Linked DNA regions of Saccharomyces cerevisiae S288C. The protein of the gene in region 2 interacts with the protein of the main gene of each other region in a biochemical or structural test. Each region holds a gene or a part of one and is shown on either strand. Other genes may lie near its edges. The genes, in order: CST6, SCH9, MAF1 and TOR1.

What was found.
Region 1: the proteins of SCH9 (region 2) and CST6 form a complex in vitro, tested with the Saccharomyces cerevisiae proteins (one study listed by BioGRID).
Region 3: of the proteins of SCH9 (region 2) and MAF1, one has a biochemical effect on the other in vitro, tested with the Saccharomyces cerevisiae proteins (5 studies listed by BioGRID).
Region 4: of the proteins of SCH9 (region 2) and TOR1, one has a biochemical effect on the other in vitro, tested with the Saccharomyces cerevisiae proteins (6 studies listed by BioGRID).

The regions. Positions count from the first base shown.
Region 1 is NC_001141.2:282,987-287,929, reverse strand, and holds CST6 (Cst6p), read right to left. Parts: upstream 2,265-4,943; coding exon 501-2,264; downstream 1-500. Other genes in the region: casein kinase 2 catalytic subunit CKA1, read left to right, coding at 1-140; pheromone-regulated protein PRM2, read left to right, coding at 2,931-4,901. UniProt on the Saccharomyces cerevisiae protein: Transcriptional activator of promoters containing ATF/CREB sites. Can independently stimulate transcription through ATF/CREB sites. Important for a variety of biological functions including growth on non-optimal carbon sources.
Region 2 is NC_001140.6:505,609-513,744, forward strand, and holds SCH9 (serine/threonine protein kinase SCH9), read left to right. Parts: upstream 1-3,754; coding exon 3,755-6,229; downstream 6,230-8,136. Other genes in the region: alpha-1,2-mannosidase MNL1, read left to right, coding at 711-3,101; kinase-regulated stress-responsive transcription factor SKN7, read left to right, coding at 7,124-8,136. UniProt on the Saccharomyces cerevisiae protein: Protein kinase that is part of growth control pathway which is at least partially redundant with the cAMP pathway. Regulates both BCY1 phosphorylation and MPK1 activity.
Region 3 is NC_001136.10:454,428-461,490, forward strand, and holds MAF1 (RNA polymerase III-inhibiting protein MAF1), read right to left. Parts: upstream 3,677-7,063; coding exon 3,671-3,676; intron 3,591-3,670; coding exon 2,409-3,590; downstream 1-2,408. Other genes in the region: RCR2 (Rcr2p), read left to right, coding at 1-327; YDR003W-A (uncharacterized protein), read left to right, coding at 355-477; putative DNA-dependent ATPase RAD57, read left to right, coding at 774-2,156; SOK1 (Sok1p), read right to left, coding at 4,115-6,820. UniProt on the Saccharomyces cerevisiae protein: Mediator of diverse signals that repress RNA polymerase III transcription. Inhibits the de novo assembly of TFIIIB onto DNA.
Region 4 is NC_001142.9:555,518-566,815, forward strand, and holds the start of TOR1 (phosphatidylinositol kinase-related protein kinase TOR1), read left to right. Parts: upstream 1-3,898; coding exon 3,899-11,298. Other genes in the region: DNA-directed RNA polymerase I core subunit RPA12, read left to right, coding at 1-55; chaperonin-containing T-complex subunit CCT5, read left to right, coding at 397-2,085; ARP3 (actin-related protein 3), read right to left, coding at 2,292-3,641.

The DNA.
Region 1 (4,943 bases), on a different chromosome or scaffold from region 2:
ATAAACATTTAAGCGGCAACGATGAAATTATTGACCTTATTGACAATCTTTTGAGATATGATCATCAAGAAAGATTAACTGCTAAGGAAGCGATGGGACACCCGTGGTTTGCCCCAATAAGGGAACAAATTGAAAAATAAGAAATAAATAATGAATGAAATAAAAAAAAAAAAATCACTGACAAACGATATAACGATTACTTTTTTTTACCATCTGTACAATTGTACTTAATTCTAATAGATTTAAAAAACTAAATACAGGTTTAAAGGGCTTCCTCCATACAACAGAGGCAAGGAGGACTAAGGGGTTGACACGAGCAAATTTCATACATGCAAAATAATAATGTCTTAAAGGTAATTTATACCATAAATGTAGTAACTAAACGAAATAATAACGGCAGAAAAGAAAGGATGCAGCTCGAGTATTTATACACGTATATTACATATATAGTTGTCCTTATCATTCTTGAATGAAACACCGTTGTGCTCACCAAAACTTTGTTATTTTATCTTTTCAGAATTGGGTAATGATTGGTTGTCTGGATCCTTACCACCTTCTACGGGCTTGAGATCTATATCGTCATCGTCAGTATCGCTTCCGAAACGTTGAGAGTATGGCTCGTGCTTGATGGCTATGATCTTACCAGTATCTTTATCCACTTCTGTAACGTCTGAATCGATCATTAAAAGTTCTTCAATGATCTTTAATGAATCCACAGTCATGCTTTCATTTTTGTTGCTACTATTAGTGCCATTAACATTATTATCTGAGTCTTTATTTAGTTTTTCATGTTCACGTAAATGAATTTTGGAGAATTTCTTGAATTTAGAGATTAGTTTTTCATAGTAATTTAACTTTTTCAGTAAAATTCTATTCTCGTCTTTAATTTCGTTAAATTCCTTTTGGAGCTGCAGCTGCGCAACCTTTTTCCTTTGTCTACATTTCGAAGCTGCAATTCGATTTCTTTCTAACAATCTTGCTCTCTTCCATGCCGTAGTACCAGGGATTGGATTTCCCTGTGTGTTCGCCGCTAAATTTAAATGAGATCCTTGAGATTTTGGAGTGAAGCTAGGATTAGAGTGAGATTCCCTAAGTGCAGATTTGCCCCTATTTTCACCTCCAGTAGTTGGCGCAAACGTCGTCATGCCTTCCAAATCACTTATACTCTCCGCTGGAGTATTCTTTGATGGCGCGTTTACAAAATTTCGCTGCTGACTTTTCGAGTAAATAACGCTCTGATCACCCAATGCGGAGTCCTTCGTGGGATTAATAACTTTTTTTGCATTGTATTGTGGAATACTACTAACCGGCACTGCTTGGTTGAAGACCGGCTTGTTTGATACATTCCTAGTTTGGCTCAGACCATTATAATTGTGAAAATTGGGCATCGGGGGCGGCTGTGTGTTGTGCAGGTTTTCCAAAGTTTCAATATCTTCGCCTAGCTGGCTTATTTGACCGTTAGAGATTGATATTCTTCTTCTTCTAATTGGCTCATCGCATCCAGGCAAAGAACTTTGGAAAATTGGTGGATTCGTCATAGGTAAATGTGCTACATCAACACCAAAAGGTTGAAAAAATGGCGACAATGTTTCCAGGATGGATGGATCGTTCAAGGCATGTGGGTTGTTATTCATATTCATGTTCATGAAATACATCTGCTTGTTCACAGAAGCCGTATTGGCGATGTTGGACGCATTAGTCGGGGCTGTAGTAGAATCATTCGGAGCGGACTTACGGGTAGACGACAGTTGGCTCAGATTTGTATGAGTGGCCAGATTCTGATGCATATCCTGTACGACACCAGAATTCATCAGAATATCACCGTAGAGTTGGGATTCCTCTTCAGTTTTCATAGAGGGTGACTGTTGTCGCTGATCCTGCTGTTGCTGTTGTCGAAGGTATGCAGCCTGCTGATAGTTTGAATTGGCGCTGGGTTTAACAACCCGATCATGCGAATTGACGTTTCCAGCTGCAATAGAATATTGTGGGGTTAAAGAATTTCTATTGGAAGTAGTATAATCATGTATTTGGTCAACCACACCAGCCATATTTGTGCTATAGTTTATGTCAGTAGGATCTAAGGATCTACTTAAAGCAGAATTGTTCATAGTAGAAGTGGTGGTGGCGGCGGCAGAAGTATCACTAACAGAGTGCGGTATCTTATTATTCAAGATCTTTGATGTGTCATCAATACCACGTTTATTGTTGTCTTTTTGCTTGTTGGAATTAGAGTCTACGGAATGATACTCCTGACCAGTAAACATTATCCTACCAAAAAGGTGTGGGCTTATACTTTTTTCTTTACTACTTTAGATCTTTTTAGATCCTTTTGAATCTTCCAATTGAAAGACTGCTTTAAAAGCGAGTTTTTGATTTAGAAACACCAACAGATACGTATACACGATAACCTCTATAGCGGTTCTATTTCTGTTAACAAGAAGGTACTTGAAAGTGATAACTCAAAAAACAAGAGTACAATATGAAAATCTTTTGCCTTCATTGTCATTGTCATTGAATCCCCGATTATCATTGTCAGCAATTTCGGAGAAGGGGGCAACTATGTTCCGTGTAAGGTGATATTACTCAAATGTGTCACAATTTCAACTTCTGGGAATAATATTTATAATAGTTGAGATTATTCTTGATTATAGAGGCGACAGCTTATCTTAATTTTCGCCAATAGGTTTGGAAGAACATTGGTATTTTCATTCGGTGCAGCATTTTAATTCAGAATTATAACCGTCCTTGTACGGTTATAACAGCACATTATTGAAAAATGTTTTAAAAATGTTTCAGCCCAGTAATAAAACATTTACATATGCTATCTTGGCCCTTTATATAACATGTAAAGCAAAAAACTAGAACACTAACATGGCTTAAGTAGCTGAAAATCTACACCACTTTTCGATAAAACTAAGAGTACGGCAAAGATGAACAATGTACACATAATTAAACCTTTATCACTTCCACAGAGGTTTTTTAGTTGTATTTTCCATCCTCTATTACTGATATTCTTTACTTCTGTTATTTTAACTATTTGGGGTTCCTTTTCAGTCATTGACATTACAATGGCAAAAATGTCTCACGCACAGGTCAAACGAAATGATACCGTCTCAACCTTTGCATCTATTTCAACTGCTACAGCGACAGCCACAACAACGGCCACAACAACGGCCACAATGACAGCAGTCACAACACAGCATGCCATATATTCTGCCAACAGTTACTCTTTAAATAAAACATTCATTGATAATACAATTGATCAGTATTTCGAAAGCAAACTACGGAGTATTGAATCTACGGTAGGTACGGATATGCAAGAAAAATTCAAGTCATACACAGACGACATACTGGATAATAAACAAAAACTTATCAACGACCAAATAAGTTTGGAAACTGAATTGATTAAGGAAGTTCTTGAGGTAAACAATACAATTTTTAACGAACTACTCACTAAATCACAGCTGATAAATGACACATGGAATGAAATATCAGAAGACGCAATGACCATTGATAAGGATTCCATTTCACAAATGGCATCAAACCTACTGTTAAATTACTCCATGTTTGACAGTATTTTTGGGAACTACTCAAGGAAATTGAAATCATTGCAGAACTTCAATGGCACTATCACTGACTTTTCTACTCAATTAGATACCTCTAGTACCTTAAGTTTGAATTTTCTACGAAATTCCACTGACTGGCTTCAGTTGAAAAGGAACTTTACTGCAAACTTACAGAATGAAATTTCCATTTTATCTGGGGGGAGTACCGAGGTTACATCGTCTACTTCAATAATTAAACGGTCTCTGAAAACAAATAGCGAGGAAAACAGTGTACTAAGTGCAGTAAAAAATCACGTTTTCCGTAAATGTAAGAGAATGACAATAATTTTCACAGTCATGTACTTTGCATTTGTGATTTTGCTCATGGCAATCGAAAGAATTCTGTTTCAGCTGGAAAATCAGCAAGTAAACCTGGTTATGTCCCAAATTAATGGCCTGACAGGACAAACCAATTTTACTAAATACAACAAAGTTTTGAAAAGCTTAATTACTACTCTGAATCTCAGTACACTTTATCCAATTCCCTACCAATTAACAAAGCTTATCAATCAAAAAATATTTAAAAGAGAACCAGAAAAAATCGATGACAAAAAAGTCAAAAAATCAAAACTATTTTACTGTAACTGGTGGATAATCTCAAATGGGGCTCACCTGTGGCTGTTTGGTTTTTTGATGTTATTAATTCATTGGCAGATAGTGACGCGATTAACAAACTTTGAAGTACCCAGTTTGCCTACATTCCACAAAAGAGCGGGACCTTCGCTATACAAAAGGGAAGTTTGGACAGATGGAAATATAACAACTACGATAGAGGGTTTCATTAATGACAGCGTATCATTATTGTGTGAAAATTTCCAAATGGAAGTGAATGAAAAGTTCATTACAGCAAATTTAAGCCTTCAAACTGACCCCAATTTGAAAGTGCAATCAACGGACATCCTAAATCTTTGGGTTAACGACACAAACACTCAGTTTGAAAAATATCTTAATGAGAGTTCTCAAAATTGGCAGGGGATAGACCTGCAGGTTGAGCCTCTGTTAGGCAGCGATTCAATTAATGAGTTCCTGGGTCAGTATTTCCTACCGACATACGAAGTTACGAATACAAATTCTTCATTTGCACTGGACATTCAAAAATATGGTATAATTAATCGAGGAATTAATATAACCAACGCATCGGTAGCGGCATTGTCTTCACTGTCAAAACGCCAAATAAAGGATAAGGAGCAAAAACAAACGTACTTTTTACACACTGTTTATAAGTGGGGACTTTTAGCAGTTTGCCTGACTATATTGTTCCACCACATGCTTATATTTATAATATTAAAGTTGTAAGTATCGTATTATCGTCACCTTCCACGAGCGGTCTCGCAATTT
Region 2 (8,136 bases):
ATCACTACTATTAACTCTACCGATAATAAAACAAAGCGACTTGAAGCAGCTCCAAATCCTAGAGAAGGAAGATACGATGCCATTGCGCTAACGAAACCACATGGATCCTCCACACAACCACTTAGTTTGGCAAATCCCAAGACCAAGAGGAACTTTCCTCACCATTCGGGGCAGGTGACGAAGCAAGAGCGAAGCTGGATTCTACGCTGGATTAGTGAAGCGCCAGCGAGGAATGCTAGAAAGACCAGCCCAGGAACAATAGAAAATTACGCGGTAGGATAATCTCCTTGACGGAAAAACGCTGTGTGACACTGACTAGCCTGAAAAAATAGAAAAAAAGGAGATGCGCCCTGCAAAAAGCGCAATAACGCGCACACAAAATGTCTGGGTGAAATGTATGGATGCATAATTGTCTCGAAAATAATTGTTTAAAGAGAATAACCATAAAACAGGCTGAAAAGCAAGCACTGCTCAATGTTAGTTTCACTGGCGACTCTATCTCACCATGGTTACACTATTAGTACATTTGGTATAGACTGATAGGTTTCCGTTGTGCTTTAACGACGGGTAACGATTTATTTCTGGCGTGTTTCAGCGACTATTAATAATAAGCAATAAAGAAGGACGCGTTTTTGAATATGTATTAATGGGTCAAGAGTAACCATGATAATTTCATATTTCCATGGATTGGTTACATTCAGGGAAATAGAATGGTTTGCTGCTTATGGGTGCTTCTAGCATTGTTGCTTCATCTCGATCATGTAGCATGCGAAGACGATGCGTACTCATTCACTTCTAAAGAACTTAAGGCTTACAAGCAGGAAGTGAAGGAGCTGTTTTATTTCGGCTTCGACAATTATTTAGAGCATGGGTATCCATATGATGAGGTAAAACCCATTTCATGCGTTCCTAAGAAGAGAAACTTTGAAGATCCTACTGATCAAGGCACCAACGATATATTGGGCAATTTTACAATCACTTTAATAGATTCTTTAACCACTATTGCTATACTGGAAGACCGGCCGCAGTTTTTGAAAGCTGTTCGACTTGTTGAAAGGACATTTCCTGATGGCAATTTCGATATTGATTCCACAATACAAGTTTTTGAAATTACTATACGTGTTATCGGATCACTACTATCATCACATCTTTATGCTACGGATCCCACAAAGGCAGTGTATTTAGGGGACGATTATGATGGCTCACTGTTACGTCTCGCCCAGAATATGGCAGATAGGCTCTTACCTGCATATTTAACGTCTACCGGATTACCTATGCCACGGAGAAACATCAAACGAAAATGGGATGTCTCTGAATTTCCAGAATTTTTGGAGACAGAGAATAATGTGGCCGCTATGGCGTCTCCCATGTTCGAATTCACTATTTTATCTTACTTGACAGGCGATCCCAAGTATGAGAAAGTTACCAGATACGCATTTGATAAAACATGGTCTCTTAGAACTGGTTTGGATTTGCTACCCATGTCCTTTCACCCCGAAAAACTAACACCATATACGCCCATGACTGGAATCGGCGCCTCCATCGACTCCCTTTTCGAATACGCTTTGAAAGGTGCTATTTTATTTGATGATTCAGAATTAATGGAAGTTTGGAACGTAGCATACGAGGCATTAAAGACTAACTGTAAAAACGATTGGTTTTTTGCTAATGTAATGGCTGACACAGGGCATTTGTTTGTTCCCTGGATTGATTCTTTGAGTGCTTTTTTCTCCGGTTTACAGGTGCTTGCTGGTGATTTGGATGATGCCATAGCGAACCATTTAATGTTTTTAAAAATGTGGAACACCTTTGGCGGTATTCCTGAAAGGTGGAACTTTAGTCCTCCGGAGTTTCCCCCACTATCTCCATTAGAGCGATCGGGAGCTGTTGCTTTGGATAATATCCTCCCCTTAGAATGGTACCCATTAAGACCGGAATTTTTTGAGTCAACCTATTTCTTATATAGAGCTACAAAAGACCCGTTTTACTTAAATATTGGGGTACATCTGCTAAAAGACCTCAAGCAACGATTTAAGTCTAACTGCGGATTTGCAGGTTTCCAAAATGTAATCACGGGCGAACTGCAAGATAGAATGGAAACATTTGTGTTGAGTGAAACTTTGAAATACCTGTATTTATTATTTGATGAAGAGAACGAATTACATAACAGCGCTAGTGACGTAATTTTCAGTACAGAAGCCCATCCAATGTGGTTGCCCCAAGAAGTGAGGTCCAACTATAAACGTAACGCTAAATTTAACAACTCTGTCTACTCGTCGCACTTGGAAATTTGCCAGAAAAAGGACAGGGAACAAGCTGGAGAGAACACATTGAGCCAAAGAATTGTGGGGTTCGCCAAATCGATCTTTCATAAAGGTCCACCAGACGAAGAGGCTACTGATCCAATTATAGACTATACCATTGATACTGAACTTCCCGGTACATGCTCTATAAAGCCTCATCATGTAATTGGTGACGAATTTTGGTATTCTCCAATGTTGAGCAATTTTGACAGATTATTCGAGATTGACTCCCGGTTCGCTGCCACGCTAATTAAACCTTCACACATGCATAACTATAATGCAATTGAACTAGAACCTGGATTTTATAACAGGTGGTCCAATCCGCAATTTAGCACGTGCCTGATCCCACCCACCACCGAAATTTTCGAACTACTATTCGACCTTCCTGGATATCATCAGTTGAATCCATTAATGTTAGAAAACAAAACTATTACATTTGAAACCTTTGGAGGTAGGTCAAGGTTGAAGATCGAAAAATTGCAAATCTACCAAATTGATTACTATGGAGACTTAATCACTGCATCGACATTCCAAGACGTCTCCCGCAAGGATATTTTCTCGAATGCATGCGATGCAGTGGCAAGCTTGTATTCTCCCACTTATCTTTACAGAGTAGTAGCCATCAACGGACGCATATTGCCTCGCCATGGAAGTGTACAAATCAAGAAACATAGTCCTGTGCTCACTTCCAATGGCACAAGAGAGGAAGACGAATTCAAAATGGATGGCATCGGGATTAATGACCATTCCCAACTCATGTTAGAATGCACGCCCATCATCAACTTATTTATTGTATGAAATCACTCTTTTAGATAGACCTCTACAGCTTTTACATAATGGCACCAGTAATAAATGATGAACGATTTCGTTACCCTCGGTAAAACCGGCCAAAAAAAAAAAAAAAAAAAAAAAAAAATGTTCTCAAAGTGTAAACTTAATCAAAAGCTTATTTGTTTGTTATCTGTTTCTCATCGGTTTCGTTTGTTGCTTAAAGGGTGGATCGGTCATTTACGATAACGGTTCTTTCTGCATATTCCGATCCTTAAAGGCTTACTTATTCACATTACGGGTCCAATATAACATAGATTGTTGTGCTCAGCTCATCCATTTCGCTGGTCGCTTATATTCTCTTTTTTGTTTTATTCTTTTCTTTCCTTCAAGGTTCTTTGCAACAGCACTGAAAATAGTTACAAACAACTTTGCGCCAGTTCCCGCCTGCTTATTCTTTTTCCAGCTCTCTTCTACTTTATATACCCTTTTCGTGGTCCTTTTTCCTAATTTGCCCCTCTTCGCTTTTTATCGAAAATTTTACCCACTCTCACATAATCACCTAAGGGCATCTATTTAATAAGGTACAGTCAAAAATTTACTCTTTTGGCAACTGTTTATAAGAAGAATAAGTCTGAGAATTATACTCGTATAAGCAAGAAATAAAGATACGAATATACAATATGATGAATTTTTTTACATCAAAATCGTCGAATCAGGATACTGGATTTAGCTCTCAACACCAACATCCAAATGGACAGAACAATGGAAACAATAATAGCAGCACCGCTGGCAACGACAACGGATACCCATGTAAACTGGTGTCCAGTGGGCCCTGCGCTTCATCAAATAATGGTGCCCTTTTTACGAATTTTACTTTACAAACTGCAACGCCGACCACCGCTATTAGTCAGGACTTATATGCAATGGGCACAACAGGAATAACATCAGAAAATGCCCTTTTTCAAATGAAGTCAATGAATAATGGAATATCATCAGTTAATAATAACAACAGCAACACCCCTACGATTATTACCACGTCACAGGAAGAAACTAATGCTGGAAATGTACATGGCGATACCGGTGGCAATTCTTTGCAAAATTCTGAAGATGACAACTTTTCTTCCAGTTCTACCACCAAATGCTTACTCTCTTCCACTTCTTCGCTATCAATAAATCAACGAGAAGCAGCAGCAGCTGCTTATGGTCCAGATACCGATATTCCTAGGGGTAAACTAGAAGTTACAATAATAGAAGCACGTGACCTAGTCACTAGATCAAAGGATTCACAGCCTTATGTTGTTTGTACTTTTGAGAGTTCAGAGTTCATTTCTAATGGTCCTGAGTCACTAGGCGCCATTAATAATAACAACAATAACAACAACAATAATCAGCATAATCAAAACCAGCATATTAACAACAACAACGAAAATACCAACCCTGACGCTGCTAGCCAGCATCATAATAATAACAGTGGTTGGAACGGTTCTCAGTTACCATCGATAAAAGAGCACTTGAAGAAAAAACCCCTTTATACACACAGATCATCTTCCCAATTAGATCAGCTAAACTCTTGCTCTTCAGTAACCGATCCGAGCAAACGTTCTTCTAATTCTTCGTCGGGTTCTTCAAATGGTCCAAAGAATGATAGTTCACATCCAATATGGCATCACAAGACAACGTTTGATGTTTTGGGATCTCACTCGGAATTAGATATTTCTGTTTATGATGCTGCCCACGACCATATGTTCTTAGGCCAAGTTAGACTGTATCCAATGATTCATAATTTAGCACATGCTTCCCAACACCAATGGCACAGTTTGAAACCTCGCGTTATTGATGAAGTTGTGTCCGGTGATATTTTAATCAAATGGACTTACAAACAGACAAAGAAAAGACATTATGGCCCACAAGATTTTGAAGTTCTTCGATTATTGGGTAAGGGTACTTTTGGCCAAGTCTACCAAGTTAAGAAGAAAGACACTCAAAGAATTTATGCAATGAAAGTTCTCTCCAAGAAAGTTATTGTCAAGAAAAATGAGATCGCCCACACAATTGGCGAAAGAAATATCCTAGTCACGACAGCGTCCAAATCGTCCCCATTCATTGTCGGATTGAAGTTTTCCTTTCAAACACCAACAGATCTGTATTTGGTCACTGATTATATGAGTGGTGGAGAATTATTCTGGCATTTACAAAAGGAGGGCCGTTTTTCGGAAGACAGAGCGAAATTCTATATCGCTGAGTTAGTCCTAGCGTTAGAACATTTACACGATAACGATATCGTTTACAGGGACCTAAAGCCTGAAAACATTCTACTCGATGCCAACGGTAACATCGCTCTTTGCGATTTTGGTCTTTCTAAAGCTGACTTGAAGGATAGAACAAACACATTTTGCGGCACCACGGAATACCTGGCACCAGAATTGTTACTGGACGAAACCGGCTACACCAAAATGGTCGATTTCTGGTCTCTAGGTGTTTTGATATTTGAAATGTGTTGTGGTTGGTCCCCTTTCTTTGCGGAAAATAATCAAAAAATGTACCAAAAAATTGCCTTTGGTAAAGTCAAATTCCCCAGAGACGTACTGTCACAAGAGGGGAGGTCTTTTGTAAAGGGTTTACTAAACAGAAACCCCAAACATAGACTCGGTGCCATTGATGATGGAAGAGAACTACGAGCTCATCCATTTTTCGCAGATATCGACTGGGAGGCCTTGAAGCAGAAAAAAATTCCACCACCTTTCAAACCTCACCTAGTCTCGGAGACGGATACCTCGAATTTTGACCCAGAGTTCACAACAGCTTCAACTTCATACATGAACAAGCACCAGCCGATGATGACTGCTACCCCGCTATCTCCAGCCATGCAAGCAAAGTTTGCTGGTTTCACCTTTGTTGATGAGTCCGCCATCGATGAACACGTTAATAACAACAGAAAATTCCTACAAAACTCGTACTTTATGGAACCTGGTTCCTTTATCCCGGGAAATCCAAACTTACCTCCAGACGAAGATGTCATCGATGATGACGGGGACGAGGACATCAATGATGGATTCAACCAAGAGAAAAATATGAACAACAGCCATTCGCAGATGGACTTCGACGGCGACCAACACATGGATGACGAATTTGTCAGTGGAAGATTCGAAATATGATTTCTCAATCGCTCCTCTTGCCCTTCCTCTTCTTTTCCTTTTCTTTTTATTTTTTTCTAATTTTTCTATCTTTTATTTCTACTTCTATTATTAATTTGTATCTTCTAATCGTTTTTCCCACTTTATCGAAACATTTCTTCTATTTATATATGTAAAGTATGTATGTATTTTCGTTTTATTTAAACTCCAAAAAATGAATAATTGTTCCTGCAAATTTCTAGTTTATCACGTCTCATAATCACTGCTTATACCTCACCATTCCATTGTACTTTGACATATTTACCCCTCATCTATATATAATCAGGGCTTAAGTAAACGCTTCGCTGTGATTTCCCAAAGTCGGTTCGGAAATTATAGGTCGGTTATATCATCCGAAAAAAAAAAAAAAAAAGTTTTTCTTAAATGCATAGGTTTAAAGTCGATTAAAAGTAGGGCTAACACAAGTATAAGCAGGGTTTTGCTATAATAGGGATGCCATAAGTGAGGGCAGGGCTCATCGATGCGCGTACATGGATTTTCCGAAATTCTGAATTTTTTCTTTCTTTAACTATGAGCAAAATGTGGTCAGCTTTACTGAGCTTAACTGTCATCCCATCGAATGTGACAAGATTGAAAGTGCTTCCAGGATCTGAAACATTTGTCAAAGTTTTACTAACATTACACAGATATCCCTGGTCACCTTACTATCTTCCAACATCTTACCTAGGCTTGCTGCTTTTGTTTGGGTCATATATTTAACTCGCTCATTAGAGGACATTCTGTTTTTTCCAAGACCAACAAAAAAGCAACGAAATTGCTGTATTATTAAAGGACTGTTATAGAAGTTTTTTTATCCTCTCTTTGTTTCCATTATTCTTATTCCTATTTTTTCGTTGCTTACTTTTGATATCCACTATGAGCTTTTCCACCATAAATAGCAACGTCAATAAAACCACCGGCGATAGCAATAATAACACCACCGAGAACAGTTCGACTGCAGACCTTTTAGGAATGGACTTGTTGCAGAGCGGGCCTCGACTGATGAACACGATGCAGCCAAACAACTCTTCTGACATGCTGCACATTAACAACAAGACTAATAACGTTCAACAACCAGCTGGAAACACAAATATCAGCAGTGCTAATGCGGGAGCAAAGGCTCCAGCAAATGAGTTCGTAAGAAAACTGTTCAGGATACTGGAAAACAATGAATATCCTGACATTGTAACTTGGACTGAGAACGGCAAAAGTTTCGTCGTTTTGGACACAGGAAAGTTCACTACGCATATATTGCCTAATCACTTCAAACATTCAAATTTTGCATCTTTTGTAAGGCAACTAAACAAGTATGACTTTCACAAGGTTAAGAGAAGTCCCGAGGAAAGACAGAGATGTAAATATGGCGAACAAAGTTGGGAGTTTCAGCATCCAGAATTTAGAGTCCATTACGGAAAAGGTCTCGATAACATCAAAAGGAAAATTCCGGCGCAAAGGAAAGTGCTTTTGGATGAATCTCAAAAGGCTCTTTTGCATTTCAATAGTGAAGGCACTAACCCCAACAATCCTTCTGGGTCTCTTTTGAATGAATCCACCACAGAGCTGTTGTTAAGCAATACCGTAAGTAAAGATGCATTTGGAAATCTAAGAAGGCGAGTAGACAAACTACAAAAGGAGTTGGATATGTCCAAAATGGAGAGTTATGCTACTAAAGTAGAACTACAAAAGTTGAACTCGAAATACAATACGGTTATCGAAAGTTTGATAACATTCAAGACCATAAATGAAAATTTACTCAACAACTTCAACACTCTGTGTTCCACTTTGGCAAATAATGGTATTGAAGTGCCAATATTTGGCGACAATGGAAACCGTAACCCAACTGGTAATACCAACCCAGCAACAACAACAGCTATCCAAAGCAACAACAA
Region 3 (7,063 bases), on a different chromosome or scaffold from region 2:
CCTGAATATACAGAGACAGCAAATGAGAATGATTTGGGGTTTTACGACGAACGAGGAGAGTTTCATCCTAATGGCAAAACGGAATATTTAGCGCCACCGCCTTTATCAGAAGAACAAGCTAGCTCGACTGATAAAGACTTACAGCGCCCAGTGGCTGCCGTCGTACGAATTCCTAGTGAAAGTGAATTCGACTTCAATCTGCTAAGACCCACTATGAATAATTTCGTTAATGGTCAGAGTAATCGCAACGAGCAGCATTCTCCGACTGTTGAATCTTCTTCCTTTGATGTTAATAACGCGCCGGCAAGAGCGAAAGTGAGTAAGTGATTTTTCGTTTAATGAATTTATTATCGCATGACTTGCGGTATAGAAAATAGTTATAAGAGTGCTGAAAAAAAAAAGAAGTACAGAAGTTTTCGTTTCTTTGAAAGTCGCGATTATTCCGAGTTGTGTATTATAGTAGGAACATACTATTGATTTAGGTTTGAGAGCTGGTAGTATCGACGTCCAGAACAGTCAATTCATCGGAACGCTTTCGACTCGGTCCACGGAAAAGCCATTCAACGATTTATACGGACGGTGATTTTGATTAGTCTAATTGCCTATATATTATAAATATATTCTTCCTTTACCTATTTCTTCTCACACATTATCCTCTAAGTAACATGAGAATTCAGATGCCGGTTAATCTTCGGCTTTTTCGCGTTGAATTCAAAAAATGAAAATGATGAACAACCACTGGGAATTCACCATTTTTCAAAGTGTGTAAATTCATGCCTAGGGCCTTATCAATAAAATTTGACAATACGTATATGGACCTTTACGATGAATTACCGGAAAGTAAACTCCTTTATGATGAAGAATTTTCATATCTTTTGGATGCAGTAAGGCAAAATGGTGTCTGCGTCGTAGATTTTTTAACACTCACTCCGAAGGAATTGGCAAGGCTAATACAAAGGTCGATAAATGAGGTTTTCAGATTTCAGCAATTGCTTGTTCATGAATATAATGAAAAGTACTTAGAAATCTGTGAAAAAAACTCTATCAGCCCAGATAACGGTCCTGAGTGTTTCACGACTGCTGATGTAGCTATGGATGAATTATTAGGTGGAGGCATATTCACGCATGGCATTACAGAAATATTCGGAGAGAGCTCTACTGGTAAATCTCAATTACTTATGCAGTTGGCGTTAAGTGTCCAACTTTCCGAACCTGCGGGAGGGCTTGGCGGCAAATGTGTATATATTACCACTGAGGGCGATTTACCAACTCAGAGATTGGAAAGTATGCTATCGTCTAGGCCGGCTTATGAAAAACTAGGTATTACACAATCAAATATTTTCACCGTCAGCTGTAACGACCTAATAAATCAGGAACACATAATCAATGTTCAGTTGCCTATTTTATTAGAGAGATCTAAGGGTTCAATAAAATTGGTGATAATAGATTCGATTTCTCATCATTTGAGGGTGGAGCTTCAGAACAAGTCCTTCAGAGAATCCCAAGAAAATAAAAACTATCTGGATAGGATGGCAGAGAAGCTCCAAATACTGGCCCACGATTATTCATTATCCGTTGTGGTGGCTAATCAAGTTGGGGATAAACCACTGGCTAACAGTCCAGTGGCACATAGGACATATGTAACTGATTATGATTATCAGCTAGGGTGGCTAGTTGGCTGGAAGAACTCAACCATTCTTTATCGGCAGATGAATTCGCTGCTTGGAGCAAGTTCCAATAACGATGAAATTCTATCAGACGATGAAGATTATATGCTAATCGAGAGAGTTATGAGCACTGTAAATGACCGGAATTATGATTTTTTTTCAAAAAAGAAACCACCCATAATTGAGAATAAAACCGTTGAGCGAAATTCATCAAGTCCTATCAGTCGACAAAGTAAGAAACGGAAATTTGACTATCGTGTCCCCAATCTCGGTTTGACTTGGTCCAATCACGTTTCAACACGAATATTACTTCAAAAATCTTTCAAGGCTTCAACAATAATTCAAAGAGGTGAAGCTCATCTTTATAAGGGAGGTGATTCGGCAAGCTTCTGGCAAGTTAAGAGGACAATGAAAGTGGTATATTCCACATTCGCTAAGCCTGGTCAAATTGCATATCAAATTACTAAGCGAGGAATAGAAACAGCCTGATTGAAGTTCCGTATTCGAAAGAAACTAAGAGCTTTGCAGTAATATATGATGAAGGCAGTCTTTTTATATAGTAGCGCACATTATTCAATCCTCGCTAAAGTGTTCAATTAGTAAATATAATATTGTCATAAAGGTACATAGTTGAAAAGGGTATTTTTTTAAAAATAGAAACTTACAATAGTAGACATAAAGGGACTGTTTTTAACGATTATAGGTGTAAGACAAGGAAAATTCACAAATTAAAGTTTAAAACTACTGTAGGGATTCTTCTTGATCTGATTTATCATCTATTACATTCTCATCATAAGTGAAATCGTATTCTCCTTCGTATTCATTTGAGCCATCATCTATTATAAGCTTTCCCTGAGGTTTTTTTGCCAAGGCATCTTCCACTTCGCCTGTACTCGAATTTAGACGCGAGCAAATCAAGTAAAGGTAAGCCACTCTTTTCCTTTTCCTGTTGTAAAGAAAACCTATAAGATTCCAAAGATAGCCAGGCTCATCTTCCAAAAAAGAGTTTGAAGGTGAATATTGAAAAAGGACGCAATCAGAAAGAGTCATGTGAGAATTAATTACCTCCCAGACCCATTCCTCTGGTTGTCTACCAAGAGAATATAAGGTGTTTTCAAATTTGGAAATAAAAGTTTTCAATGATGTTTTGACAAAATCCGTTGGCTCAACCGATGAAAAATCATGGTCAGGATAAGAAGCGTTGAGGATAGCAATCAGATAAGCAAATATTTTGCGGCTTGACGGTTCGTTTATGGGACCAAACGGACCCAAACTTAAATTGCTTGGCCTTTCGTTTATCGAAGATTTTCTTCTTTTGTTAACATTGTTGGTTGCTGTACCAGAACTGTAATTATTGTTCGATGATTTACCACTTTTGAAACTGCTAATACTGCTACTGCTCCTTCTTCTTATCCTCTCATCATTCTTAGAAGAAGAATCAAGAGACGATGAGCTCATAGAGCCAGAATCGTAATTCGAGACTAATTCTTTTAAATTTTGGTCATTTAGCTTGGCACTTTTGGGAAAAGTTGCTGGAGAAGAACCATTAGGTCCAGAATAGTTATTGTTATTACTGCTATTGCCATTACTGTTGTTAGTGTTATTATTGCTATTGTATTCACTAAAAGATATTCTTCTCTTTTGCTCCCAAAAAGAGTTGCTATCCCTCCTATTAGAATAAAATGGCGACGAGCAGGGTGATTGGTTTGTTTCGGGAGCAGCTAGCTGTTGCTGAAGGGTAGCATTGTAATTCTCATTTTCCTGTAAAATAGTATCCAAATGCTGATCAATAGTTTTATATAATTTTCTATCTGATGCAACCGCCTTTGTTGTGAAAATATCGCAACTGCCCACGATTTTACAGTCATTTGTCTCGAAATTGAGAGTTTGATTCACTCTCTCTATATCTAGCTCATCAATAAACTAAGGAAGAAAAGGAGGGTTCAGGTACAATGTTAGTAATTTCGAATAAAGAGCATGGCAGTTTTAGAGTGATAACATACTTTCATTGTCGTGATTCTTTAGGCAAAAAAATCCGTTTGGAGTAATGAGCGGTTAAACTTGTTCTTGGTGAAGTGTGCAGAGTTTCTAAACTTTAAGTAAATGACACTAAGCCTATATTTTTCGCATTGCTAAAGAAACACTGATACATAATGTGTCTACATTTTATATAGCTGATAGCACGTTCTTTTTAAGTTGAATTATCTTTTTTTTCTCTTGTTAAATAAGATGGACAACGCGCTTTCGCTGGCGAGATGAAGCGCCCCTGATTGACAAGCAACTCGTGGAGGCAAGTAATTAGCGACGCTTTACTTTGTCTGATAGCAGTAAATATGTGACTGCATTTAAGAAGTGAAATTATAAGAAATGTACGCTTTAAAAATGATATATGAAGTTACATAAAGAAATGGTAAAAAAATTTTTTTTTCCTCCATTACCGATAATAGTTATATTCCTTTTTTATTAACTTTATCTCCTAACATTTCGATATAATGAGGACCGAATACGGACCAATGAAGGTTGATTAATGCATATAAGTGGCGATAAACATTCTCGAATTCCTCCAGCTCTGTTGCTGCGAATAAACCTCTGGATGCAATCGCATTGCCAGTAGGTGTGGTGGTGGAGGTTTTAGAAGGAGACATCAAAGACGGGCTGATTTTAACGCTAGCAGTATCTGTAGTAGTACTCAAAGTGTTAGTGCTACCTACGTTGCCATTGTTTGTGTTGTAGAGGTACACAAAGTCTTGTTTAACGCGTCCATCAATTGTGCACTCGGACCTGTTGAAGATAGCGTCCTCTAGTGATTTGAATACTCTATTTTCTAGGACACCATAAACTTCACTGAGGGGTTGAGTTTGCTTAGATAACCAAGATTTAGCAAAGGTTATTTTTGAGTTGTCTAATGAAGGCAATTGAGGCCTTCTGGCTTGTTCACAACTACCATTGTTGTCGTACTCCCTGTGAAGATCGTCAATAACTTTGCAAAGATGAACAGCAATAGACATTGTGTTTTTAGTCCACCTACAATTGCCGTGTTCATCTGTTATAATGCTGATAATTTCATTCTTCAGCCTTTTAGTTGAGTATGTATGAATAACATATTCCTTTGTAGCTTTATCCATTGAAGGATCGTTGGCCACCAATTGTTGGAAAAGTAAACGGCAAACTAAAATACAAACAATTTGACGTATATCGGCACGCAAAAGGATCAATCTTGCATGATCAAAAGAAAGCGGAGTTGGGTACTCTCTCACCATCTTCCTACATGACAATAGGTTAATTATACTTCTAATGCAAATATTGTAGACATCAGGGATAGTGATAGAACTTGGATTTCTAACAAGGCCAGCGGTAACATTTTCGTTGAATTTTTTATCAAACCAAAGTAGGGAAGTATTTAAATTCACCCTTTTAGAGGCTATAAGAGTGTTGAAATACTGTTTCTCAAATTCTACAGCATTACTTAACAGAGCTGGCCTTAGTATTCTTATTTGATGATTGGCAATATCCAATTTCATTGTTTCCAAAATTTGAAAAACCAACCTTAAACCTTCTATTAACCTTGTTAAAGAAGAGTCTCTTTCAGCTTCTTTAAATTTGTTGCTCATTTTATCCACCCATGGGTCCCTCATGGGGGCACAATGATGTTTAAATAAATCAGCCAACCAGCCTGACAAGTTAGACATTATCAGAGAACCTTTCAATAGTTCTTGAATGTTCAATTCTGTGTCCAGTACATTATTTATCATCGGAGACTCTTTTTGTGGGACTATCGTTAACAATACATCCCTTAAAGTGTCAAAAAGTGGGACTAGTCTTGACCTGTTATATTGGAATATTTCAGGCCTCTTAGAGTAAACATAAATTTCATTTTGAACATCATTCCAATAGATATTCGCCAATTGTCTTTTTTTATTCCCTCTTTCGCCATCAAGATTTGGCCTGAATTGTAGTAGCGGGTCGAATATTATATCATGTCTTAGTTGTGGGTTTTTCAGAATTTCCTGTAAGTCAATCTCTTTTAAGCCCTGCAAATTTATAGGAGGAAATGGAACAGGCGTTGGAGTAGCCTTTATGTAGTTTATTCTATCTTCCAAAGTTAAGTCAAAGTTTGAGCTTGATAGGAAGCTTTGATTTGTCATTGAAGTGGCAGTGGAATTATTAATGTTGTCATTATTAGCGTTAGTGCTTGCGTTACCTGATATTTGTTGATTTAAAAAAATTGCGCGCTTTAATGAAAGAGGGTTTGAACTGAGAGGATTATTAGAATGCAAATATGGTTGATGATGGTTTCTAGAAAATTTTTTCTTTGATATGCCGGAAGGAGTTGGATGATTTAAAAGAATATTTTGATTACGATAGTATTGATTGTGGGATGATAATTTTCTTAAAGAAGAATGCAAAATAGTGGGTACGGAATGCGACCTCATTTTTTTATTTGAAAAGATCCTTAAAAAGTTAGAAGCATTTCCTGGTGGCTGTTGTTGTGCTGCTTGTTCTTTGTGTGGTTCCGTTGCTGGTGGCAATTGCGGCGCGGATGCAGACGGTGGTTGCTTTGACGACGGTGGTGGGGAGGGAGATGGATTGTTGATATTAGTATAAATATTCTTTGGGGGTATCGAATCAACTTTATTGTTCCTCCTTATTTCTTCTTCATTATCATCGTTTTTCAAGAATTGACCAGTCTTGGTGTCGAACGTCTTGAATATAGTATTGTCCCTGTCTATAGGGATCTTCAAATCACTACTATTAGCTGAATTGCCACTGCTATCGTTGTTAGTGGCGTTAGTGCTTGCATTCAAAGACATGGAGGGCGTTATTACGCCGGAGCTCCTCGACAGCAGATCTGATGACTGGTCAATATATTTTTGCATTGAGGCTCTGTTTGGAATTATATTTTGAGATGACCCATCTAATGTACTGGTATCACCAGATTTCATGTCGTTTTTTAAAGCGGCTGCTTGAGTCTTAGCAATAGCGTCACCATCTGGTGAATCCTTTGAAGGAACCACTGACGAAGGTTTGGACAGTGACGAAGAGGATCTTTCCTGCTTTGAATTAGTCGCGCTGGGAGCAGATGACGAGTTGGTGGAGCTGGGGGCAGGATTGCTGGCCGTCGTGGGTCCTGAATGGGTCCTTGGCTGGTCCATCTCTATTCTGAAAACGGAAGAGGAGTAGGGAATATTACTGGCTGAAAATAAGTCTTGAATGAACGTATACGCGTATATTTCTACCAATCTCTCAACACTGAGTAATGGTAGTTATAAGAAAGAGACCGAGTTAGGGACAGTTAGAGGCGGTGGAGATATTCCTTATGGCATGTCTGGCGATGATAAAACTTTTCAAACGGCAGCCCCGATCTAAAAGAGCTGACAGGGAAATGGTCAGAAAAA
Region 4 (11,298 bases), on a different chromosome or scaffold from region 2:
TACTGTCTTCTATACATGCACTTCCTGTGGTTACAAGTTCCGTACCAACAATTGATTGGGTTGTGTTCGCACATATTACAATTTGTACATTAATATCATCCCCGCTTTCATCATGTGAACATCTATAGAACATCATTTATAAAAACAAAAAATCTATGTACTGACGATATAATAGCGTACATTATCATATTATTCTTACTATTTATCATACTCATCGCATCTACTGTTCTCGAGAACGTGTAAAGTGATTTATGCCATTGAATGAAAAATTTTGTTAAGGAACAACTAGAAATATAATAGTGTCTTGGTGGATGTGGCAAATGAGGTGTGCGTGATAAAGAGCTACAAACTCAAAGTAATAACAGCTATCATCCATTTTTATAGCAATATTTGAAAATGGCTGCTCGTCCACAACAACCTCCTATGGAAATGCCGGATCTGTCGAACGCCATTGTGGCACAAGACGAGATGGGTAGACCCTTTATTATCGTGAAGGATCAAGGTAACAAGAAGAGACAGCACGGATTAGAGGCCAAGAAATCACATATATTGGCTGCTAGATCAGTAGCTTCTATTATCAAAACTTCGTTGGGTCCCCGTGGGTTAGATAAGATCTTGATTTCACCTGACGGTGAAATCACCATCACTAACGATGGTGCTACAATTTTGTCCCAAATGGAGCTAGATAATGAGATTGCAAAGTTGTTAGTACAACTTTCCAAATCTCAAGATGATGAAATTGGTGATGGTACTACTGGTGTTGTTGTTCTGGCAAGTGCGCTACTTGACCAAGCATTGGAGTTAATTCAAAAGGGTATACATCCAATCAAAATCGCTAATGGATTTGATGAAGCCGCCAAATTAGCCATTTCCAAGTTAGAAGAAACATGTGACGACATTTCTGCGTCAAACGATGAATTGTTCAGGGACTTTTTATTGAGGGCCGCCAAAACTTCTTTGGGCTCCAAAATTGTTTCCAAGGATCATGATAGATTTGCTGAAATGGCTGTGGAAGCCGTCATAAATGTCATGGACAAAGATCGTAAAGACGTGGATTTCGATTTAATCAAAATGCAAGGACGGGTTGGCGGATCTATAAGCGATTCAAAATTGATTAATGGTGTCATTTTGGATAAAGATTTTTCTCATCCACAAATGCCTAAATGTGTTTTACCAAAAGAGGGCTCTGATGGTGTTAAGTTAGCTATATTAACGTGTCCATTTGAACCTCCTAAACCAAAGACCAAGCATAAATTAGACATTTCTTCAGTAGAAGAATACCAAAAATTACAGACTTATGAACAAGATAAGTTCAAAGAAATGATAGACGATGTGAAGAAAGCGGGCGCAGATGTTGTTATATGCCAATGGGGGTTTGACGATGAGGCCAATCATCTACTTCTACAGAATGATTTACCTGCCGTAAGATGGGTAGGTGGCCAAGAACTAGAACACATTGCCATTTCCACAAACGGTCGCATTGTTCCAAGATTTCAAGACTTGTCTAAGGATAAATTAGGTACATGTTCCAGAATTTACGAGCAGGAGTTTGGTACTACTAAGGATCGTATGCTGATTATCGAGCAAAGTAAAGAAACAAAAACTGTAACATGTTTTGTTCGCGGTTCCAATAAAATGATCGTGGATGAAGCTGAACGTGCATTGCATGACTCACTATGTGTGGTACGTAACTTGGTTAAAGACTCACGTGTAGTTTACGGTGGGGGAGCAGCCGAAGTGACTATGTCCCTGGCTGTCTCTGAGGAAGCTGATAAGCAACGTGGTATTGATCAGTATGCATTCCGTGGATTCGCCCAAGCGTTAGACACCATTCCAATGACTTTGGCTGAAAATTCTGGTCTTGATCCAATCGGAACTTTGTCTACATTGAAAAGTAAACAACTGAAAGAAAAGATTTCCAACATTGGTGTCGATTGCTTAGGTTACGGGTCTAATGACATGAAGGAACTATTTGTCGTTGATCCATTTATTGGCAAAAAGCAGCAAATTCTTTTAGCTACTCAATTATGTAGAATGATTTTAAAGATTGATAACGTCATCATTAGTGGTAAAGATGAGTATTGATTTTGTATAAATAAATAATAAAAGATAAGTTTTAATCACATATCCCACAATTTTTTTTCTCAGATCAGCATTTGGGGTTACTTGATTGTACATATACGTGTATATAATCAGTTGTATACGTATATTTAAATGAAGTGAGGGGCGTTTCAGTTATTTGCATTTGTTTTTGTACCTTTTTCCTTATAAGATGAGTCATGACTCAATAATCAAACCATGTTGAAAAGGCTGAAATTTCTAACAATTTCCGGACCATATTCCTCATAATCTTTCTTAGTGTGACAGTAGCCTTTGAATTCGGCTGTTTGTGCCAGCAGCGAGCCACCAAACCAGACAGCGTTTCTCTGCTTCCGATGAGAAATCACGGAAACATCTACACCAGTCGATTTAGTTCCACTTAACAGCTCACTTTGTGCGATTCTGTTATTTACGATAGACTTTAGATCTCTTTGTAAACGACGTCCAAAATCTTTGAACATGGTAGACCCACCTGATAGTACAATATTGTTGTATAAACCTTTACGGACGTCAATAGGGCAAGCCTGGATAGTTTGATCCACTACCGTGGGTAAAGGAGTCAAGAAGTCTGAGGATGCAATTTCTGGATTGAAGAAGATTTCAGGTGCTAAGAATCTTTCGTAACCAATATCTACGACTTTTCTCCTTGTCTTTTCTTGGTTTTCCACCACAAATTGGGCAAATTTAGAAGGATCTTTATCGAATTTGTTAAACTCCTTTACAATATCTGGACAGACGTAACAGTATTCTTGCTTAATCTTTTCGGCAGTTCTCAAGGAAGTGTCTGCTTCACCACGTTCTCTTAGCAAGGATTGGATGAACAATGTGATGTCTCTACCGGCTATTGGAATGTTTTTAATTGCTGAGCCAATGACGTAACCTTCCGCCACTGGGATGACGTGGGTGACACCATCACCAGAATCTATAACAGTACCAGTTAATGATCTATCCGTGACTTTTGAAGAGGTCCATGACGCAGCCAGAGCCAAAACTGCTTGCACAGCAATATATAGACCAGCACAATTAAATGATTCAAAAAAAATCTCCGCCACTTGCTCTCTGTTTTCTGGAGGATTCAGTGGTGGTTCGGTCAATAGGAAAAAATGATCTTCAGGCTCTGTTCTTAAATACTTGAAGATGGAATTTTCCCAGAATCTTTCCATGTGATCCCAATTTTCCACTTGACCGTGTCTGATTGGATAGCTCAAAGAGTAAGAGGGTCCTTGGGATGCTACTAAAGCCTCATTTCCAATATAGAAATCCAAATCTTCTGTACCTCTTTTACCGGATAAATTATTAGACAGCAAACCACCTGTTGCACCATTGAAATTGGTTGCAGAGGTGGAATTTCCAAAGTATGATGCTTCATTACTAACTGCTGAGGGCGCACCAACGCCCGAGGACTTCTTTGTATTTGAAGGTGCAGCTGTGGCTATTGCAGTAGGGAAGACCCAGGAGGGAGAATCATTACCGGCGAAACCGAGCTTGGTCAGCCCGGTACCATTGTCCATGACAACAGCGGGATTGTTTAAGTATGACATTGAATCCTAATTTCTTGCTCAATCGTGAGGCCTTACGGTAGGGCCAATTCTTGATTAAACTACTCTCATATATTTTTGTTTGAAACTTTTGAAAAGGGGTTCTCGCCATTTTGAAGCCGCGGACAGCCGGGTGACTACTGAAAGTCCTTATCGAAGGGTCTTCTTGAGCTTACGTTAAAAAAGAGCCATAGTAGCTTCACGAGAGAGTCATTGGTAAAGTGAAACATACATCAACCGGCTAGCAGGTTTGCATTGATATGGAACCGCATGAGGAGCAGATTTGGAAGAGTAAACTTTTGAAAGCGGCTAACAACGATATGGACATGGATAGAAATGTGCCGTTGGCACCGAATCTGAATGTGAATATGAACATGAAAATGAATGCGAGCAGGAACGGGGATGAATTCGGTCTGACTTCTAGTAGGTTTGATGGAGTGGTGATTGGCAGTAATGGGGATGTAAATTTTAAGCCCATTTTGGAGAAAATTTTCCGCGAATTAACCAGTGATTACAAGGAGGAACGAAAATTGGCCAGTATTTCATTATTTGATCTACTAGTATCCTTGGAACATGAATTGTCGATAGAAGAGTTCCAAGCAGTTTCAAATGACATAAACAATAAGATTTTGGAGCTGGTCCATACAAAAAAAACGAGCACTAGGGTAGGGGCTGTTCTATCCATAGACACTTTGATTTCATTCTACGCATATACTGAAAGGTTGCCTAACGAAACTTCACGACTGGCTGGTTACCTTCGAGGGCTAATACCTTCTAATGATGTAGAGGTCATGAGACTCGCTGCAAAGACTCTGGGCAAGTTAGCCGTTCCAGGAGGTACATATACCTCTGATTTCGTGGAATTTGAGATAAAGTCTTGCTTAGAATGGCTTACTGCCTCCACGGAAAAGAATTCATTCTCGAGTTCGAAGCCAGACCATGCTAAACATGCTGCGCTTCTGATTATAACAGCGTTGGCAGAGAATTGTCCTTATTTACTCTACCAATACTTGAATTCCATACTAGATAACATTTGGAGAGCACTAAGAGACCCACATTTGGTGATCAGAATTGATGCGTCCATTACATTGGCCAAATGTCTTTCCACCCTACGAAATAGGGATCCTCAGTTAACTAGCCAGTGGGTGCAGAGATTGGCTACAAGTTGTGAATACGGATTTCAAGTAAACACATTAGAATGCATCCATGCAAGTTTGTTGGTTTATAAGGAAATCTTGTTTTTGAAGGATCCCTTTTTGAATCAAGTGTTCGACCAAATGTGTCTAAATTGCATAGCTTATGAAAATCATAAAGCGAAAATGATTAGAGAAAAGATTTACCAGATTGTTCCCCTATTAGCATCGTTCAATCCTCAATTATTTGCTGGCAAATATTTGCACCAAATTATGGACAACTATTTAGAGATTTTAACCAATGCTCCAGCAAATAAAATACCACATCTCAAAGATGACAAACCACAGATTTTAATATCGATTGGTGATATTGCATATGAAGTCGGGCCCGATATCGCACCTTATGTGAAACAAATTCTTGATTATATTGAACATGATTTACAGACGAAATTCAAATTCAGAAAGAAATTTGAAAATGAAATTTTCTACTGCATCGGAAGATTGGCAGTTCCCTTGGGCCCCGTTCTAGGTAAATTATTAAACAGAAATATACTGGACCTGATGTTCAAATGCCCTCTTTCCGACTATATGCAGGAAACGTTTCAAATTCTGACTGAGAGAATACCATCACTAGGCCCCAAAATAAATGACGAGTTGCTTAACCTAGTCTGTTCAACCTTATCTGGAACACCATTTATCCAGCCAGGGTCACCAATGGAGATACCATCGTTTTCGAGAGAAAGAGCAAGAGAATGGAGAAATAAAAACATCCTACAGAAAACTGGTGAAAGTAACGATGATAATAATGATATAAAAATCATTATACAAGCTTTTAGAATGTTAAAAAATATCAAAAGCAGATTTTCGTTGGTGGAATTCGTGAGAATTGTTGCACTTTCTTACATTGAGCATACAGATCCCAGAGTAAGGAAACTAGCTGCGTTGACATCTTGTGAAATTTACGTCAAGGATAACATCTGCAAACAAACATCACTACACTCTCTGAACACTGTATCTGAAGTGTTATCAAAGCTTCTAGCCATTACGATTGCGGACCCTTTACAAGATATCCGTTTAGAAGTTTTAAAGAATCTTAATCCATGTTTCGATCCCCAGTTGGCACAACCAGATAATTTGAGACTCTTGTTTACTGCACTGCACGATGAGTCGTTCAATATTCAGTCAGTAGCAATGGAGCTTGTCGGTAGGTTGTCTTCCGTAAACCCTGCATACGTCATCCCATCGATAAGAAAAATACTACTGGAACTGCTAACAAAATTAAAATTCTCAACTTCTTCTCGAGAAAAGGAAGAAACTGCCAGTTTGTTATGTACTCTTATCAGGTCGAGTAAAGATGTTGCGAAACCTTATATCGAACCTCTTTTAAATGTTCTTTTACCAAAATTCCAAGATACCTCTTCAACGGTTGCATCAACTGCACTGAGAACTATAGGTGAGCTATCTGTTGTAGGGGGCGAAGATATGAAGATATATCTTAAGGATTTGTTTCCTTTAATTATCAAAACATTTCAGGATCAATCAAACTCTTTCAAGAGAGAAGCTGCACTTAAGGCCCTTGGTCAACTTGCAGCCTCATCTGGTTACGTGATAGATCCTTTACTCGACTATCCCGAATTATTGGGTATATTGGTGAATATATTGAAGACAGAAAACTCTCAAAATATTAGGAGACAAACAGTCACTTTGATAGGTATACTGGGAGCTATCGACCCATATCGCCAAAAAGAACGTGAGGTTACCTCTACTACCGATATATCTACAGAACAGAACGCCCCGCCTATCGACATTGCTCTTCTCATGCAGGGCATGTCTCCTTCGAATGATGAGTATTATACCACTGTTGTCATTCACTGCCTGCTAAAAATCCTAAAAGATCCATCCCTATCATCTTACCACACTGCCGTGATCCAAGCGATTATGCATATTTTTCAAACCCTTGGTCTAAAATGTGTTTCATTCTTGGACCAGATCATCCCAACTATTTTGGACGTAATGCGTACATGCTCTCAGTCACTATTAGAATTTTACTTCCAACAGCTTTGCTCTTTGATTATTATCGTAAGGCAACACATAAGACCTCATGTCGATTCTATATTCCAGGCTATCAAAGATTTTTCTTCGGTTGCTAAGCTACAAATAACGCTTGTAAGTGTTATTGAAGCAATATCAAAGGCTCTGGAGGGTGAATTCAAAAGATTGGTCCCTCTTACTCTGACCTTGTTCCTTGTAATTTTGGAGAATGACAAGTCTAGTGACAAGGTCCTCTCCAGAAGGGTATTGAGACTGTTAGAATCGTTTGGTCCTAACTTAGAAGGTTATTCGCATTTGATTACACCCAAGATAGTTCAAATGGCAGAATTCACCAGCGGGAACCTACAAAGGTCTGCAATAATTACTATTGGCAAACTGGCCAAGGATGTTGACCTTTTTGAGATGTCCTCAAGAATTGTTCACTCTTTACTTAGGGTACTAAGTTCAACAACGAGTGACGAACTCTCAAAAGTCATTATGAATACTTTAAGTCTACTGCTAATACAAATGGGCACATCCTTTGCTATCTTCATCCCTGTCATTAATGAAGTTTTAATGAAGAAACATATTCAACACACAATATATGATGACTTGACAAACAGAATATTAAACAATGATGTTTTACCCACAAAAATTCTTGAAGCAAATACAACGGATTATAAGCCCGCGGAACAAATGGAGGCAGCAGATGCTGGGGTCGCAAAATTACCTATAAACCAATCAGTTTTGAAAAGTGCATGGAATTCTAGCCAACAAAGAACTAAAGAAGATTGGCAGGAATGGAGCAAACGTCTATCCATTCAATTATTAAAAGAGTCACCCTCCCATGCTCTAAGAGCTTGTTCAAATCTTGCAAGCATGTATTATCCACTAGCCAAAGAACTTTTTAATACCGCATTCGCATGTGTTTGGACCGAACTTTATAGCCAATATCAAGAAGATTTAATTGGGTCATTATGTATAGCCTTATCTTCTCCCTTAAATCCACCAGAAATACATCAAACATTGTTAAACCTGGTAGAATTTATGGAACACGATGACAAGGCATTACCAATACCAACTCAAAGCCTGGGCGAGTATGCTGAAAGATGTCACGCCTATGCCAAAGCGCTACATTATAAAGAGATTAAATTTATTAAAGAGCCTGAGAACTCAACTATTGAATCATTGATCAGCATTAACAACCAGCTGAATCAAACGGATGCTGCAATTGGTATATTAAAGCATGCCCAACAACATCATTCACTTCAATTAAAGGAGACATGGTTTGAAAAATTAGAGCGTTGGGAAGATGCACTACATGCTTATAATGAACGTGAAAAGGCAGGTGATACTTCCGTGAGCGTTACACTCGGTAAGATGAGATCCCTTCATGCCCTTGGCGAATGGGAACAGTTGTCGCAATTGGCAGCTAGAAAGTGGAAAGTTTCGAAGCTACAAACTAAGAAGCTAATAGCTCCCTTGGCAGCTGGTGCTGCGTGGGGGTTGGGAGAGTGGGATATGCTTGAGCAATATATCAGCGTTATGAAACCTAAATCTCCAGATAAGGAATTTTTTGATGCAATTTTATACTTGCACAAGAATGATTACGACAATGCTAGTAAGCATATATTAAACGCCAGAGATTTGCTTGTGACTGAAATTTCCGCGTTGATCAATGAAAGTTATAATAGAGCATATAGCGTTATTGTTAGAACTCAAATAATAACAGAGTTTGAGGAAATCATCAAGTATAAACAATTGCCACCTAATTCCGAGAAAAAACTTCACTATCAAAATCTTTGGACAAAAAGACTGCTGGGCTGCCAAAAAAATGTCGATTTATGGCAAAGAGTGCTTAGAGTAAGATCATTGGTAATAAAGCCCAAGCAAGACCTGCAAATATGGATAAAATTTGCAAATTTGTGCAGAAAATCTGGTAGAATGAGGCTAGCAAATAAGGCATTGAATATGCTACTAGAAGGAGGCAACGATCCTAGTTTACCAAATACGTTCAAAGCTCCTCCCCCAGTTGTTTACGCGCAACTAAAATATATTTGGGCTACAGGAGCTTATAAAGAAGCATTAAACCACTTGATAGGATTTACATCCAGGTTAGCGCATGATCTTGGTTTGGATCCGAATAATATGATCGCGCAAAGTGTCAAACTCTCAAGTGCAAGTACTGCTCCGTATGTTGAGGAATACACAAAATTATTAGCTCGATGTTTTTTAAAGCAAGGTGAGTGGAGAATAGCAACACAACCGAACTGGAGAAACACAAATCCGGATGCAATTCTTGGTTCTTATCTATTGGCTACACATTTCGATAAAAATTGGTACAAGGCATGGCATAATTGGGCCTTAGCTAATTTTGAAGTAATATCCATGGTTCAGGAAGAGACTAAGCTCAACGGAGGTAAGAATGATGATGATGATGACACGGCAGTTAATAATGATAATGTGCGGATTGACGGTAGTATCCTAGGAAGTGGTTCTTTGACTATTAATGGCAACAGATACCCGCTAGAGCTTATTCAAAGACATGTTGTTCCAGCGATCAAGGGCTTTTTTCATTCAATATCTCTATTAGAAACAAGTTGTTTGCAAGACACGTTGAGGTTATTGACTCTTTTATTTAACTTTGGTGGTATTAAAGAAGTCTCACAAGCCATGTATGAAGGCTTCAATTTGATGAAAATAGAGAACTGGCTTGAAGTCTTACCACAGTTGATCTCTCGTATACATCAGCCAGATCCTACGGTGAGTAATTCCCTTTTGTCGTTGCTTTCTGATTTAGGGAAAGCTCATCCACAAGCTCTCGTGTATCCTTTAACTGTCGCGATCAAGTCTGAATCTGTTTCAAGACAAAAAGCGGCTCTTTCAATAATAGAGAAAATTAGGATTCATAGTCCAGTCCTGGTAAACCAGGCAGAATTAGTTAGTCACGAGTTGATCAGAGTAGCCGTTCTATGGCACGAATTATGGTATGAAGGACTGGAAGATGCGAGCCGCCAATTTTTCGTTGAACATAACATAGAAAAAATGTTTTCTACTTTAGAACCTTTACATAAACACTTAGGCAATGAGCCTCAAACGTTAAGTGAGGTATCGTTTCAGAAATCATTTGGTAGAGATTTGAACGATGCCTACGAATGGTTGAATAACTACAAAAAGTCAAAAGACATCAATAATTTGAACCAAGCTTGGGATATTTATTATAACGTCTTCAGAAAAATAACACGTCAAATACCACAGTTACAAACCTTAGACTTACAGCATGTTTCTCCCCAGCTTCTGGCTACTCATGATCTCGAATTGGCTGTTCCTGGGACATATTTCCCAGGAAAACCTACCATTAGAATAGCGAAGTTTGAGCCATTATTTTCTGTGATCTCTTCGAAGCAAAGGCCAAGAAAATTCTCCATCAAGGGTAGCGACGGTAAAGATTATAAATACGTTTTAAAGGGACATGAAGATATAAGACAAGATAGCCTTGTTATGCAATTATTTGGTCTAGTTAACACTTTGTTGAAGAATGATTCAGAGTGTTTCAAGAGACATTTGGATATCCAACAATACCCGGCTATTCCATTGTCGCCTAAATCTGGTTTACTAGGATGGGTACCAAATAGTGACACATTCCACGTTTTGATCAGAGAACACCGTGATGCCAAAAAAATTCCGTTGAACATTGAACATTGGGTTATGTTACAAATGGCCCCCGATTATGAGAATTTGACTCTTTTACAAAAAATTGAAGTATTCACGTACGCTTTAGATAATACAAAAGGCCAAGACCTTTATAAAATATTATGGTTAAAGAGTAGGTCGTCAGAGACATGGCTAGAACGTAGAACAACTTATACGAGATCTTTAGCAGTTATGTCCATGACTGGTTATATTCTGGGACTAGGTGATCGCCATCCAAGCAACCTGATGCTAGATAGAATCACCGGTAAAGTTATCCACATTGATTTCGGCGATTGTTTTGAAGCTGCCATCTTAAGAGAAAAGTATCCAGAAAAAGTGCCATTTAGACTAACTAGGATGTTAACATACGCAATGGAAGTTAGTGGAATTGAAGGCAGTTTCCGAATTACTTGTGAAAATGTCATGAGAGTCTTAAGAGATAATAAAGAATCATTAATGGCGATCTTGGAAGCTTTTGCGCTTGATCCTTTGATCCATTGGGGATTTGATTTACCGCCACAAAAACTTACTGAGCAAACTGGAATTCCTTTGCCGTTGATTAATCCTAGTGAATTATTAAGGAAGGGGGCAATTACTGTCGAAGAAGCGGCAAATATGGAAGCAGAACAACAAAATGAGACCAAAAACGCCAGAGCAATGCTTGTTTTGAGACGTATTACAGATAAATTAACGGGCAATGATATCAAGAGGTTCAATGAATTAGACGTCCCTGAGCAGGTTGATAAACTGATCCAACAAGCCACTTCTATTGAAAGGTTATGTCAACATTATATTGGATGGTG